3 linked regions of the Sus scrofa genome follow. The main gene of each other region encodes a partner of the protein of the gene in region 3 in a complex. Links are inferred from orthologs where the notes say so. Each region holds a gene or a part of one and is shown on either strand. Other genes may lie near its edges.

Region 1 (5,200 bases), on a different chromosome or scaffold from region 3:
TACATATATATTTTTTCTTTTTTTAATACAATCTTCCATCATGTTTTAACCTGAGACTGTACACAGTTCCCTGTGCTGGGCAATAGGATCTCATTGCTCAGCTACTTTAAATGTAAGAGTTTGCATCTCCTAACCCCAAACTCCCTGTCCATGCCCTTCTCTCCCCGTCCCCCTGGCAAACACAAGTCTGTTCTTCATGCCCACGATCTGTTTCTGTTTTATAGATGGGATCATTTGTGCCATAATTTAGATTCCACATATAAGTGATAGCATATGGCATTTGTCTTTCTCTTTCTGACTTACTTCACGTAGTATGAGAATCTCTAATTGCATCTATGTTGCTGCAAATGGCATTATTTTGTCCTTTTTTATGGCTGAGTAGTATTTCATTGTATAGGAATCCCCATTTTTGAACCCCTACCCTGGGTGATTCAGATTTGCCCTGAAGTTTGTAATTTGCATGGCAGCATTCCAATGGGCCACACTTACTCTTGGTGAGTTTACAAAACCCTCCTCCACTCCACCCTTGCTTCCTGCCAAGTGATGAACAGAATGGAATGGAAAGGAAGGGAGGGGAAAAGGAGGCAGGAGGGGGGAAGGAAGGAACTTGCTCCAAAGTGGGCTCCATTTCAGCTCAGGGTGGGCTGAGAGGGAGCCCCCTGCTCTTTTGCTCTTGGACCCGCAGCAGCAGGCTCTGTGCAGTGGCTGAAGCAGCAGCCACGGTGCCCGAACAGGAAGCGCCCTCTGTGGCTGGTGATGTCAGCTCCGTGAAAGCAGCTGAAGCAGCGGGCTCCTGGGATCAGCCGTGCTGTGAAATTTAGCTGTACCCACAGCTCAGACCCTGAATGTGCATCCCTCCTCAAATCAGAACAGTCCCGCACTGGGTCCCCTCCTGGTGGGCAGGGTCCGTATCAGTCATAGTTTTTATTGTCTGTGATTTATTGAACACTTTCTCTGTTTCGAGGCGATCAGTGATTCTTTATCACAAACATCCATGAGGTCATTTTGATCCCCACTTGACAAAAGAAGGAAAAGAGTCTTAGGTAGGAAACCTGCCCAGGAGTTCCTGTCGCAGCACAGAGGAAACGAACCCTACTGGTAGCCACAAAGATGCGGGTTCCATCCCTGGCCCCGCTCAGTGGGTTAAGCATCCGGTGTTGCCATGAGCTGTGGTGTAGGTCGCAGATGCGGCTCAGATCCTGCAATGCTATGGCTGTGGCATAGGATGGCGGCCACAGAACCTCCATATGTCACAGGAGCCACCCTGAAAAGCAAAAAAACAAAAACAAAAACAAACAAGAAAGAAAGAAAGAAAAAGCAAAGCAAAAAAAAAAAAAAAAAAAAAAAAAAGACAGACAGACAAGAAAGAAAAAGAAAGAAACCCACCCAGTATTTCCCAGCAAGTAACCAGTGAAGCCAGGATTTGATCCCGGGTCTGTTGCCAGAACCTGTCCTCTTAAGAATTACTGAGAGCTTCTCCATTTCTAATTCCCATGACTAAGGGCCTCCCACATGAGTTGTTCGTGATTTCAAAGACAAGAGGTACCCCTCTCTTCCCAGCCCCACATCCTGAGCCTGGGCAGTAAACATGCCCCTTAGTTCATCTGTGCCGGCCAGGGATCCAGCAAATATAAAACAAGCTGCCCTGTCAACTGAGAGCGCTGTGTGTCCAGTCCAGGTCTCTGCTGGGCCTGGCGGCATGTGAGAAACACAGCGCCCTCTGCTGTCCTCTGCTTTCCCAAAGGGGAGACCAAGTGTATGATGGGGTCGGAGCAGTTTGACAACAGCACAAAGCCTCACAGAAAAGCCAGAGCCCTTGGTCGCCGCCCCCCCCCGCCCCCCGCAATCTCACCTCCCACAGTCCACCCTTACTCATTCCTACATCTAACTGTTCCTCAAAAGGCCAAGTTCATTCCCACCTCAGGGCCTTTGCTCGTGCCATCACCTCTGCCAAAAAGACTGGCAGCAGTTTTCCCCAGATCACCAAAGCCTTCCTCCTCCTGGTCACCCAGCTCTCTGATCATGGCCCCCTCCTGCGGGAGGCCCTTCCTGATACCACGTATAAATTAACCACCCCCATCCATCCCTCTCCTTTACTCCATCCTGCTTTATTTCTTTGGGGGTGCTTCACACATTTGAAATATCCTATTCATTATTTGCTTATGTGTTTAAAAAAGTACCTGGCAAACAGCTGACTCTTATGAACACGGGTGAATGAATGGACGCATGAATAAATGAAAGCATGAAACATCTTCCTAAGTGCTTCTGTAACAAGGATCCAGGCACCTAGAGCCAAAGCACCCCCTGGCTTCAGTTAACAAGGGCAGAGACCACAAGAAATCACCCCCTGGTTGGTAACAACTTAACAACCAGCCAGCAGTTATATCCACACACATTGCTGGGCATCGTTCCAAAGCTAAAAAGGCACTAATTGCTTTTATATAAGGAGGTAGAAACTCCATCTCCTTAGGTCCTGATGCTCTGTATTATGGTATCTGTTAATTGTTAATTGTTCCTGCCTCACACAGCCACGGCGGGCTTTCTTCTGCTTGTGTCTGGGATGGTGACAGGTTCCTATACAGAGAAGAGAGGTACCGGGGAAGCATGTGCGTCTGTGCCCATGCATGTGTCTGTCCACGCACGTGTGCACGCGAGTGTCAACGCAGCGATCACTCCAGGAAGGGTTAACTCACAGGAAGGCTGGCTGCGCTCAGGGCCCTGCGCTGGCCCAGGAATGGGGTGGGCCTGGAAGGTGGAGTGGGCTTGGCTCACATCAGCTGCTCTTTCCAAGACAGGAGTGCACATGCTTGCCCAGCCGGACTGAGTGTGCTGAACTCCAGTCCCTTTAAGAATGGCTGCAGAAGCCCGCACCTGGAATTCACTGCCCCACCTCCCTGCCCCGCAGGGCAGGTTGCACTTGGGAGACTCTGCAGTCCGTCTTTAGAGGAATGAGCCGAGCAGGAGCCGTTCACCAGCTCGCCAGCACTTGGGGGAAAGCAGCAGGCAAGGATGGATGTGGTCCACAGCCTTCTTATGAATGGAAGCAACATCACTCCCCCCTGCGAACTGGGGATCGAAAATGAGACGCTTTTCTGTTTGGATCAGCCCCATCCTTCCCAAGGTAGGTGGCAGAGACCATTCTTTTTATGCAGAAAACTATTCAGTTGGGGTGGTGGGGGTGGGGGAGACATCCGTAACGGCAAGGCTGATTGAGCAAAATAGAACCAGGTCCTCGTGAGGCCAGGCTGGATAAAGTCACCTGCTCAGAAGTTTGGATAAGAGGTCAAAAAGCAGGATCGAGTTCAGGGCTCTTATTGTTCCCCCACGGGAGAGCTGGGATTCATGGATAGAACTTGGGGGCACAAAAGGGGTAGGAGGAGGAGCTGAAGGGTGGCCAGAAGGGAGGACAAGTGTCGAAGCTTGGACTTACAAGCATCACAGAAAAGGCGCTGTCACAATCCAGCTGTGGCCTTTTCTCGGGGAAAATCAGTGTGAAGAAGCGATTAAAGCGAAAACTGCTTAGCAGCTAGGGAAGAGAGCAATCCTGATTCACTGGAGGAGCACTGTTCTTAAGAAAAAGTGGTTCCCCGAGGGATCCTTTAACAGACCAACCATTTAAGCCTCGACGACATCGCTCTGTGCTCTCCTCACTTTGTTTCTGCAAAATAGTGTAAGTATGGGGAGAGCTGGGTTCCATGATGTACGCCCTGCAACCCCCCACCCCCCAAAATCGGCAGGACATACGTTTGCTTGGTGGGCTCAGGTTTTAACATCCTGCTCCCACAACCTCCTTCCCTCCGGCTCGTCGGTGCCGGTCGCGGCAGAGTGGCAGCCGGCCGTGCAGATTCTCCTGTACTCGGTGATATTCCTGCTCAGCATCCTGGGGAACACGCTGGTCATTACTGTGCTGATTCGGAACAAGAGGATGAGGACCGTCACCAACATCTTCCTGCTCTCCCTGGCCGTCAGCGACCTCCTGCTCTGCCTCGTCTGCATGCCGTTCAACCTCATCCCCAACCTGCTCAAGGACTTCATCTTTGGGAGTGCCGTCTGCAAGATCACCACCTACTTCATGGGTGAGTAGCTGCTGGTGACGAGTCCTGGAGCTCCCCCAAGACCCCATGCGGCCCCAGACGTTCCCAAACCCCTGACAGCCTCAGGGCAGGAGCCCTGCTGAGGTTTAAAAAAAAAAAAATTCCCTAAGGTTAAAAAAAAAAAAAAAAACCCTAAACACCCGGTTGTGTGGGGCTATGAGTAAGAACAGAGGAGCTGGCTTTGTGAGGATCAGGCCTCCCATCTCCCCCAAAGTCAGTCCCCCGTTTCAGAGGTCTGAGTCTCAGCGTGGGAATAAGTTGGTGAGAAGCCACAGAGGAGATGGCTTTCCTTGCTGCTGTTAGAAAGACAGGTTCCAGCTGCTCTGTCCATTCCTGGAAGGTGTTGATTGTACTCTGAGCTCTACCCACCTTGAGGTGTGGCTGTTGGGGTGGCCAGGGGGGCTGGAAGAGCAGCTCTTCCTGCTGGTGCTCGGACTGTCCTAGGGAACTGGGGCTATTTGAGAATCAGTGTCATCATCAGAGGTTGGATTCCCTTCTCAAGATCCACTTCCCAGCCTGTTTTCCTAGGAGCAGGGATCATCGAGAGAGAGAGAGAGAGAGAGAGAGAGCACGCTCTGCCACTAGGCTGGGAGTTGAATTTGCTCCCGGAGCCTGTGGGTCACTAGGCTGACCTGACCCTGATTTGTTGAGATACACAGCTCTCTGCCTTTGCCCTTCAAAATGACAGTGATGATAAGAACCATCGCAAGAGTTAACATTTTTGAGTACTTTTTTTTTTTTTTGAGTACCAGCTGTCCTACTAATTGCTTTAAGATTTTACTTCCAGGATCATATTTTATCTCCCAACACCCTATGCAGCATATACAGTTAATCATTCTTGTCTCATTGAGAAGGGAAGAGAGGCACAGAGAGGTTACCCATGTGCTCAAGGACACACAGATGGTAAGCCACTGAGCTGACTTGAACCCAGATCGGTAGCCACCACAGTGGTTGGTGAGGACACAGCCTCGCTTTGCCGACTGTCGTGGCTCTCCTGCCACTGAAATAAGACGTGTCTCTTGGTCCCTTCTGTCTGCCAGAATGCCTTGTCCCTTCCCCGTTGGGAGAACAGAGGAGAGGTGGGAAGTGAGGGAAGAGGCAGTTCT
Region 2 (5,199 bases), on a different chromosome or scaffold from region 3:
TTTTCATTATTTCAGTAAAAATAGAAAGTATTCTGAATTTTTAAGGTACCATATATTAAATTACCTTGCAAATGTACTTTATAAATCTATATAATTACTTTTAGGAGTTCCTGCTGTGGCTCAGCAGTAACAAACCCAACTAGTATCCATGAGGATGAGGGTTGAATCCCCAGCCCTGCTCAGTAGGTTAAGGATCCAGCATTGCTATGCGCTGAGGTGTAGGTCTCAGAGGTGGCCTGGATCCTGTGTTGCTGTGGCTGTCGTGTAGGCTGGCAGCGACAGCTCGGATTCGACCCCTAGCATGGGAACTTCCATATGCCACAGGTGTGGCCCTAAAAAATAAATAAATAAACCATTACTTGTATTATTTTCAATGAAAGATCTACAAAGGAAGTATAAGAAACCTGTTACATTCCTGTCATATCCTGGAAACCTCAAGGTCAGAAGTCTTGCTTTTATTACAAGATCTTTTCCAACTCTGGTGAGAAATATTTACAAACCTACCAATAGGAATATCTAATGTTCTTCTACAAAAACAGACTCAAGTTGCCATGATTTCAGTTTTGGGGTTTTTTGTCTTTTTTTTTTTTTTTTTTTTTTTTTTTTTTTGCCGTTTCTTGGGCCACTCCCGCGGCATATGGAGGTTCCCAGGCTAGGGGTCGAATCAGAGCTGCAGCCGCCGGCCTCCACCAGAGCCACAGCAATACGGGATCCGAGCCACGTCTGCAACCTACACCACAGCTCACAGCAATGCCGGATCCTTAACCCACTGAGCAAGGCCAGGGATCGAACCTGCAACCTCATGGTTCCTAGTCGGATTTGTCAACCACTGAGCCACGATGGGAACTCCCTTCAGTTTTTTTTTAATTAGGTTAAATTTTTCCATCCCAAATTAATTCCATCCTTGTAGAATACAAGTTTCCCCTTCATTTTTAATTAAAGCTTATGAAGACAAAATTCAAAAGCAATGTCTCAGACTTTTTTATATCTCAAAATTCTGGAAGTTATTTCACTTCATATAAAATCACTTCCAGATTTGTCAAACCCATGTCTTTCTCAAATTTTTAAGTTTCATAAAATTATGGATTTGCCTAAGCCAGTTTGTTCAATGAGTTTTAGCACGTGTAGCAATGTCTGATGGAATCTTCCATTCCAAGAGGAAAATCAAAGGAGAAAAATGGCTCTAAAATAAAATACTTTATAGCTGATCCCATTGGTCCTTTTAAAAAGAAAAAAAAAACTTTACCACGTTGGCTACCTTGGCCCCGCCATCACGGTCGGTCTTTAAGCAATGAACATGCTCTTGATACACCCAAACCCCTCCTCTCCCCCTGCTGGTTTTTCTCCCAGGATGTTGATCACCCCAACCCCATCGACAGCATCCTCTTCCGTCTCACACATCCAAGGATTCATTCTCTCTTTTTGGACCTCTCTTGGAGAACTTATCCATTTTTACCACTGTATTATGTTTTTTATTGCTTTCCCTTCACTCAGTGATAAGCTTCCTGTGGGTTGCAGATGGGTCCTAAATATTTCCCAGCACAGCACCCTAAGAGGATGGTAGATATATGTGGTAACAGAGAAGGGAAGGAAGGAGAGAGTGAATGAATGAATGAATGAAGTTCTAGATATATTTTCTCTTAAATAAAGAGGAAACGTACTTAAATAAATCCTTAAATAAATATTAGCATACAGGTGTAATTAAGATGCAAAGAGAAATGTGAGTTATAAAAATTATACTACATTCAATAATAAAGCACCTTTTAAAACATTTAGGAGACTTCTGTTGCTCAAATATGGATAATGTGCATCCTTCTCATTAAGAAGCTGCTTCCTCATTGGTTTGTGATGAAATATGAGTGCAATTTCCTGTCCCCTCAACAATGTTGGTTTCTCTTCTGGGTACAAGCAGATTTATCTGGCTCCTCGGTTGACAAAATCGTCATCTCAAGAAACATGGGTAAGTGTAAGACTAAAAAATAAACTAAGATGCTAAGTAGGTAACAGACTTTTGAATGATTCTCAGTAATATTTGCAACACATTATCTAGTTGGGGCTGTATGGATGTGGTGATAAAAACTGTTATAAGACAAGGAGAAATAAGGATGACACATGGTTTCTCTGCTTTGAGCAGTAGTGAAGGATGTCAAAATGTAGGTTTAGAAATAGTTAGGTAAAACTATCAAATGACAAAAGAGGAAAGTTTATGCTCACTTTATTTCCTCTTCAGGAAACAGTATGATGGCAAACTGAATTAAGTGGTTGGGGAGAAATGTACCAGCTCCTGGTTATAGAACTATCACACAATGCTCTAGTGATATTTCTTTAAATACAATTAGGAATAATGTGAAATTTGAGAATAATATTTCCCATACTAATAAGTATTTACTAATAATTCTTAATAGGTGATTATCACAGTGTCTGACACATAGTAGAGTCTTAATAAGCAGCTTTTAACTGATACATGAAGGCAAGTATTTCCTATAACCCTTCTTTTCTTCTGATCATTGTCATCTATGGATTGTACTATTTTAAGAGCTGTAGATTATCTTCTTTAGGCATTAGGTAAAAATTAAAATCAGAATAAAAAAAGTATCTAAATTTCTCAACACTGGTTCTAAAAACAGATTTCTCAAAATGTGATTAAAGTAGTCAAGATAATATCTTATGAATAATAAGAGTTATGTCCCATTAAAATCTCAGATTCACACAAATTAATTTAAAACTCTTTATCTGTAGAGTTCAGTATCCTATGTGAAATGTTGCTGTAAAAATTATACTCTGTCTGACTGGCTTCTCTGCTATTCTCTGGATAGGTGGCCAAAGATGATCTCCTATCAGGAAATGTAGGGGACAGCAGACTACCGGTGTTGTCATTAAAGCAGTATCAGTTAATGTGTGTTGAAGTCTTGCCGTGTGCTTGGCACTCAGCTTCATGCATCATCTCATTTAACCCCTACAAGAATTCTATGCAGTGGTTGCTGTCTTATATCTGTGAAAACTGAAACTTTAATAAGAGATGGAGAAACACACATGGTCACAAAACCCCATGGGCTGTTGAGAGCTTTGAGTTTCCTGAGCTCACACAGGTAACCACAAGCCTCCGTAGGCACTGCTTCTGCTGCCCAACCCAGAAAATATCCTGTATCTGTTTCATTAAACTGTTCCATCTTATGGTTGTTTTAGTTAAGGCAGGAAGTATTTCTATAGAGAAAGAAATTTTGGTCCATTGAGAATTTTGTAAATCCTTCTAAGACTAATTTTTCCATATTATCCATCTCATCTCATCTTTGAAAAAAAAAAAAAAGATGTATATTTGTTAAGTAACATGGAAAAAGGAGGAAGGGGTACCTTCCTGCCCATCCCCCTGCTCTCCCAGTCCTGCTTCTTTTTTTATTTTTTTTGTCTTTTGTTGTTGTTGTTGTTGCTATTTCTTGGGCCGCTCCCACGGCATATGGAGGTTCCCAGGCTAGGGGTTGAATTGGAGCTGTAGCCACCGGCCTCCAGAGCCACAGCAACGCAGGATCCGAGCCGCGTCTGCAACCTACACCACAGCTCACGGCAACGCCGGATCGTTAACCCACTGAGCAAGGCCAGGGACGGAACCCGAAACTTCATGATTCCTAGTCGGATTCGTTAACCACTGCGCCACGACGGGAACTCCCCCCAGTCCTGCTTCTAAAGAACATTTTCATGGTTTAAGTGTTCTCCCCCAGACACATGAGCCTAATAATGGATGTGATATCATGCAACCCTCAGAGTTTCATCCTCAGTAGCTTATTCAATTCTTCATGCATCTCAGATATTTCCCTAATGTCATTTTCCTTCTTCATTTATATTCTTTAGAGGTCTCTCTACTGAGGATTTTGGGGGTCAGTGTTCTTTGGCTTGTGCTTTCATTTTGAAATTTAGTTCTATTGGGTACACAATTATGGGATGATATATTCATGGCAATTTGTAATATCAATCCACTGTCTTCTGTTTCTGTTATTATTGCTATTGGAAAGTTCTCTGTTGGTCAAAATTTCATCCTGTCTGTCGGTAGTCCGTTTTTATCTCTCTGGCACTTGTTTCTGCAGTGGTGGGTGGGTGATGTGCAGCTTGACCACAACAAGTCTAAGTCTAGATTTCCATCTGTTTGTTTGTTTTTAATTTTATTTAGGATTTGCTGAGCTTCATGAATCTAAGGATGCCATGTCCTTTGTCACGTCTACACATTTCTTGGTCAGCATCTTTTCAAATATTGCCCCACTCCGACTTTTTTCTGTCCTTATGGAATTTCATTATAAGTATGCAGACCTTTTCACTTTATCCTCCATGTCTGTGGTATTTTTCTATCTCTTTAATATTGATAATTTTGTGTTATTTCTTTTCTTTTCTTTTTTTTTCTTTTCTTTTTTTGTCTTTTTGTCCTTTCCAGGGCTGCACCCGCAGCATATGAAGGTTCCCAGGCTAGGGGTCCAATCGGAGTTAAAGCTGCCAGGCTACTCCATAGCCACAGCAACGCCAGATCCGAGCCACATCTGCAACCTACACCACAGCTCACGGCAACCCTGAATCCTTAACCCACTGAGCAAGGCCAAGGATCGAACCTGCAACCTCATGGTTCCTAGTCAGATTCATTAACCACTGAGCCACAATGGGAACTCCCCAATTTTGTGTTATTTCTTTAGCTCTACTTTCAATGTATTAATTCTCTCCTCAGCTGGAACTAATTAGTTATTTAGTCTCCATGTTGATTTTAAATTTTAAATTATTGTATTTTTTTTTGTTTCTAAAAAGTCTATTTCTGACTTTTTAAAAATATGCCCAGTCATCTTTTATAATCTCTTGCTCCTTACTCATATGTTCAGATTTCTTCTTCTTTCTTCTTTTTTTTTTATTTTATTTTAATTTAGGGCCGCACTCACAGTATATGGAGGTTCCCAGGCTAGGGGTCAAATTGGAGCTTCAGGTACCCACCTAAGCTACAGTCACAGAAATGCTAGGTCCGAGCCACGCCTTCGACCTACACCACAGCTCACGGCAACACCGGCTCCTTAACCCACTGAGCAGGGCCAGGGATCGAACCTGCAACCTCATGGATACTAGTTGAGTTCATTACCATTGAGCTACAACAGGAACTCCAGGATTCCTTCTTTTATTTCTTTAAACATATTAAGCATACTTGTTTTGCATTATGGATATTAATTTTATCTT
Region 3 (4,584 bases):
ACCATGTTGTAGCTGCTGCTGGCGACCACGAAAATGATGGCGGTCACATCTTCGGCACAAGAGAGAAAGAGGATGCAGTGTTAGGAGTGACCATGAGCCTGAACCATCGGGGGCGGGGGGAAATAGCCTTAAAGAGTGGAGAAGCCCAGGGCTTCCATACCATTGAAGCATTGGATCCATTTGCGGCGCTCGTCACGCTGGCCACCGACGTCAAACATGCTGCAGGAGAGAGAGGACGCCTGGTCACCACAAGGGCTACCATGGTCCACCATGCTCACTGCGGGGGGACCTCGAGAAACCTATTTTTCTTTCTAAAAAAAAGGAACCGTTTACTTACTGGAAGTTGACTTTGTCCACCTGGAACTTGGTCTCAAAGATTCCAGAAGTCAGGACGCGGCAGCGGAGCAGGTCCTAAAACAAAGTCTCAGATTAAGCGGTCTCACCAAAACCAACCCAAGTGTTAATCATTGCCAACCTGGAGCAAAAATGCTGACTGGCTTGGAAAGAAGACTCTGCATCCTCTGCCCTGTGAGAAGGGGTGCATACCTGGTCGCTGGGCACGTAGTCAGCCTGCTTGATGACGTCAATCTTGTCCAGGAAGCTGGGAGCAGAAGAAAGACACACGGGGGTGACCACACGTTCAGGCCAATTTGCCCACTATTCCTGCCCAGCCACAAGGTCCAGCTAAGCGAAAACGACCATCCCATGAAGTTCATTAGGGTCAAGCGGATGCCTTACAAAGGTTCGCGCAAATAGGATTTAAGATAAATCAGGACCCCTGGCCTACAGGTACAGCACAGGCCAGTTGGGGGGGGGGGATCTGATCTGGTTTTAATTTGAAAAGACTCGCTCTGTGCAAATCCATCCGCCCAGGGCCCCAAATCAGGCCTGACTGTGTGCCATTGGGTAATGCCTGAGTAAAACAGTACACCCTCAGATTGTTTGGCTTTGACTAAAACGGCAAGTCGTTTGAAAACTGTACACTTCCATGTCAGGGAGTTTTTGAAAAAATGAAGAAAAAAAAAAGGGCACGCTTAAAAGAAGCAAGGATTTTTTTCGCCCAAAGGACGAATGAAGATGAGATTGCTGGATTAACTCAGAAAGGGTATCTCTCCTTTTAGGAAGTGGCCCTCTCGGCCCGCACCGCACCGAACAGGAAACAGACACCAGTTCCCTTCCGTCCTGCTTGGTCCGTGAAGCAGACCAGCCCAGAGAGGAAGCTTTCAAAGCACCTCACCGCCATCCAGGTTTGGGGCCCCAGGCAGGCAGGGGGCGCGCACCGTGGCGGCGCGGGGTCTGGGGGTCTCAGGGGTGAGAAGGCTGTCTAGGGGTGAGAATGCTTCCTCCCTCCCAGAGTCGGGAGGCTCTTTGCTTGGGTTGCCCGACTGGACACACTGTTAGGAAAAATAACTTTTAAAAGACTGGACTGAGGTAATTACCATGGAAAGTTAATGTGGAAACCAGCTTTTGGGGGGGGGGGAAGGGGGGATGGGAGGTGTTGGAAAGTGAGCTAATCAGAGAAGAAAATCAAAGCGAGAAAAATTTAAAGAAATTCTATAAGGTGGTGCCCCCCCCCCTTTCCTTTTCACCAGTTTAAAGTGAGTCTGGCTTCGAGGATACACTAACTTGCCCAATCAGGCTTACATTACAGCACCAGGCCAGAAATAGCTCCCCAGCCGCCCTGGCCTCCAGCACGTTGCCATGGCAACCGAACCACAGGTCTATAAATAGCTCATCAGCACCAAATCTTGTGAGAGAGACATCTGGAGGGGGGCCAGCCAAAGCCCAGCTCAACAAATAAAAACAGGCACCTTAAGGAACGGGCACGTCCCCAGGACCTCGGCCGTAACCTAAAGGCAGTTACGCCAGAAACAGGCGGGCTACGAAGAAGGCAGGGCTGCTGGAGGCGGCTGGCCGGGGAAGGAGACATTTTAAAAGGGTCAAGCTCTGTTCTCTTTTTCTCGGAGTTTCCTTAAAACTTTCCATAAACTGTGCACATGCTGCCATTTGCAGATAAAGTTGCAGGCATGCGTGGATAGGGCTTTCGAAAAACTTTTAAAAAAAACTTTTGAAATGGTGTGCGATTTAAAAAAAAAAGAAAAAAAAAAAAAAGAAAGCTGGCTAAACTGAATTAATGAAGTTGTTACACCCCGCCCCGCCCCCCCAGGGCTCTTAAGAATGGGGTGGTCAAAGCTGCCTAATCCTGTACCTGTGCTTCTGACTTGGATCCAGAAAACAAAAGGCAAACAATTCCAGGATTTCCATGTGTTTTGTGTTACTATAATTAGCACTTCCAGCTTTAAGCTCAAACTTTTGAGAAAATCAGGGACTTTGTTGAAGAAGGGGTGGGGGTGGGGGTCACGGCGACCGGCCCAGATGGACTGTTTCTCTGTTCCTTGAAAAAATATACAAGTTTGCTTGCGTGTTAAGTCACAAAATAGCTGTAGGGGTGACAAGTGAAAAGCATCGAGTGCCCTTGCTGTGGGAAAGCAGGGCCGGTGAAGGGACGTGGACAGCTTTCGCAGACCCCAAGAGGAGCTCGGGTGCTGTGCAGATGACGGGGTTCTGGGGAGCTGGCTTTGTGTGGCCCCAAGTTCCTCAGGCGCGGGGCTCCTGGGTAATGCACGATTTTAGCTTTTGGCGAGCCAGCCTCGTCCCTGGGTCCTGATTACTGAACATTTTCCAAAGCAAATTGTTGGCGTTTCAGTTACTTACACGAGGGGCTGACACAGGATTATCGTATTGTCAGAAAAGACAGTCCAACTTGAGAGCACGTTGCCTGAGACCGCTTGGTACATGTGTGCGACACGAGCAAACAGAGGGTCTCTTTGAGATATTTTTCACGGCTCTGAAGGCCATGTGTCTACCGCACGATGCACAGGGTAAGACAGGTGGTCAAGCTGTCTTAAAGGCAGCCTCCCGGCTGGGCGTCATCAGGCCCACTGCAAGAGAGCCTTGAAGGGACAGGAGGACAGGGCAAGGACCCCTTGGCAGGGGAGGCCCCTTGAATGAGGAACAAGGACAAGAAATGGCATCCAACATGGTGCCCACGCGAGATGAACCCTGGCAGCTGCTGTGGTCCCTTACGGGCGGTGGGGAGGTTGGGGCGGGGGCAGCACATGTCTGTCCTCACCATTCCTCTTTGGCACGTTTTTCAGTTGCGGTAAATACAATACAAAATTGCCACATTATCCGAAGTGTGAGAGCTGTCCCACCTCTCTAAATGCTTGCAGGTCAACTCAATTAATTACTTTGAGCTAATTAACGACGACCATGGCTTTATGGCAGGTGATTATCACTTTGCTCTGCCAGGCATTAAGTGTTTATATAAAATAACGTAGCTGCACTAAAACGTGCCATGAAGGCCCCTAGAAGATAAATGCATCAGACTAGAACCTTCTCAAGGCAGGTGAGACTACCTGGCTGGCTGCTAAGAAAGTACCTTGGGGCGGTGGGAGTGGAGGTGTGGGGTGTGCCCCGCGGGGCTCGGGCGGGGAGGGCACTTACTACTGGGCGCAGTCGATGAGCTGGTACTCGTTGGAGCGCTCGTAGCAGGCGCGCACGCCCTCGTCCTCCCACAGAGCCTTGGCATGCTCGTAGAACTCCTGCAGGGAGGGCCAGGGAGAGGGGTTGGAGGGGGCTGCAGGGCGCCCGGGAGACCCACCCCAAGGGCCGGTCCCCATGTCCAGGCAGCTTTAGGCAGGAGCGTTCCTACAGGACGTCGGCGGGCTCAAGGGCCCCCCCGAGTCCAGAATTACTGCTCCCGGGTTGTCATCAGCCTGTGCGTCGGGGGCCTGGGGGGGAGAGGCCGGACTGGGCCGCCCAGGAACTGGGTTTCTTCAGAGTCGCTTCTACGGGAGGGTGTGAGCTGGTCAGGAGGCTCTGGGTGGGGGGACAGGACATGTCTTTGTGATGAGGTTGTGGGGCACGTTTTCTCAGCTTTGGCCAAAACTATGACGGTCGGGAGCTGCTGGCCAGTCTGCCCTGTGCTTCTGGGGACGGTCTGCCAGGAAGAAGCCAAGGGCCAGCGACCTCTGCGTTGTTCTCAACGGCAGTAGGTCACAGGTCACAGGTCACATCACGTGGGGGCACGCTCCCCTTTACAAGGAAAGAGAAGGTCTCTCTCCAGTGTGAATTCAGAGGGAGAAAGATCAAAAGCGTGTGCAGCTCGGTGGCCGGAGGACCAACCAGCCGGCATGTCGCTGTCCCCTGCCTTTCTAACAGGCTGCCTTCTTTCTCCTCGTCTCAGAAACACAAGTCCAGCCTTGGCGTTACGTGTGCTGGGTTTACCAGGTGAAGGTTTTTCTATCTTGAAAATGTCACCTGGCCATCCCACTAACACTGCTTCCTCACTAGCAGCGGTTTGCAGCCAAACCCATTTAAAATACACAAACACACATTCCCACGAAAGCCTGACCCATGGCAACAATACGCCATTGTTTTCGAGTCAGACAAGCCTCCTGCTTCTGGGCCTTACAGACATGCCCATCGTCCCACCTTGTTCCCCGCTGCCCTCTGACAAACTCTTCTTCCCCCCAAGGGGGTCCAATCCTCTGTGCTCGGACCATGGGCAGTTTCCTTTCT

Evidence for each region. Proteins that work in one complex are often made in the same cells at the same time.
Region 1: the proteins of GNAS (region 3) and CCKAR are in contact, whole or in part, in a cryo-EM structure (PDB 7XOV), measured with the Homo sapiens proteins. The link is inferred for Sus scrofa from reciprocal best matches to the Homo sapiens genes GNAS and CCKAR. Residues at the interface, in NP_000507.1 of Homo sapiens: Gln31, Gln35, Arg38, Ala39, His41, Asp215, Val217, Phe219, Asp354, Gly355, Tyr358, Phe376, Cys379, Arg380, Ile383, Gln384, Arg385, His387, Leu388, Gln390, Tyr391, Glu392, Leu393, Leu394; in NP_000721.1 of Homo sapiens: Thr76, Glu138, Arg139, Ala142, Ile143, Cys144, Pro146, Leu147, Gln148, Ser149, Arg150, Val151, Gln153, Thr154, Lys155, Glu235, Leu236, Ser301, Ala303, Asn304, Ala307, Lys308, Arg310, Val311, Met314, Phe372, Met373, Asn374, Lys375, Arg376.
Region 2: the proteins of GNAS (region 3) and GPR65 are in contact, whole or in part, in a cryo-EM structure (PDB 9BHL), measured with the Homo sapiens proteins. The link is inferred for Sus scrofa from reciprocal best matches to the Homo sapiens genes GNAS and GPR65. Residues at the interface, in NP_000507.1 of Homo sapiens: Gln35, Arg38, His41, Val217, Tyr358, Tyr360, Phe376, Asp378, Arg380, Asp381, Ile383, Gln384, Arg385, His387, Leu388, Gln390, Tyr391, Glu392, Leu393, Leu394; in NP_003599.2 of Homo sapiens: Gln42, Glu48, Leu49, Leu53, Asp111, Arg112, Ala115, Val116, Pro119, Leu120, Lys121, Phe123, Arg126, Val206, Ala209, Val210, Asn213, Lys214, Ala215, Thr216, Glu220, Ile224, Leu227, Leu228, Tyr290, Cys291, Thr294, Glu295.

What each region holds. Positions count from the first base shown.
Region 1 is NC_010450.4:20,196,940-20,202,139, reverse strand, and holds the start of CCKAR (cholecystokinin receptor type A), read left to right. Parts: upstream 1-1,866; 5' UTR 1,867-3,009; coding exon of another isoform or gene 3,010-3,121; exon of another isoform or gene 3,122-3,526; 5' UTR 3,527-3,676; coding exon 3,677-4,076; intron 4,077-5,200. UniProt on the Homo sapiens protein: Receptor for cholecystokinin. Mediates pancreatic growth and enzyme secretion, smooth muscle contraction of the gall bladder and stomach. Has a 1000-fold higher affinity for CCK rather than for gastrin.
Region 2 is NC_010449.5:109,977,048-109,982,246, forward strand, and holds the start of GPR65 (psychosine receptor), read left to right. Parts: upstream 1-1,865; 5' UTR 1,866-1,960; intron 1,961-5,199. UniProt on the Homo sapiens protein: Proton-sensing G-protein coupled receptor activated by extracellular pH, which is required to monitor pH changes and generate adaptive reactions. Activated by an optimal pH of 7.4.
Region 3 is NC_010459.5:59,046,959-59,051,542, reverse strand, and holds part of GNAS (guanine nucleotide-binding protein G(s) subunit alpha), read right to left. Parts: intron 3,606-4,584; coding exon 3,508-3,605; intron 602-3,507; coding exon 547-601; intron 412-546; coding exon 338-411; intron 220-337; coding exon 161-219; intron 50-160; coding exon 1-49. UniProt on the Homo sapiens protein: Guanine nucleotide-binding proteins (G proteins) function as transducers in numerous signaling pathways controlled by G protein-coupled receptors (GPCRs).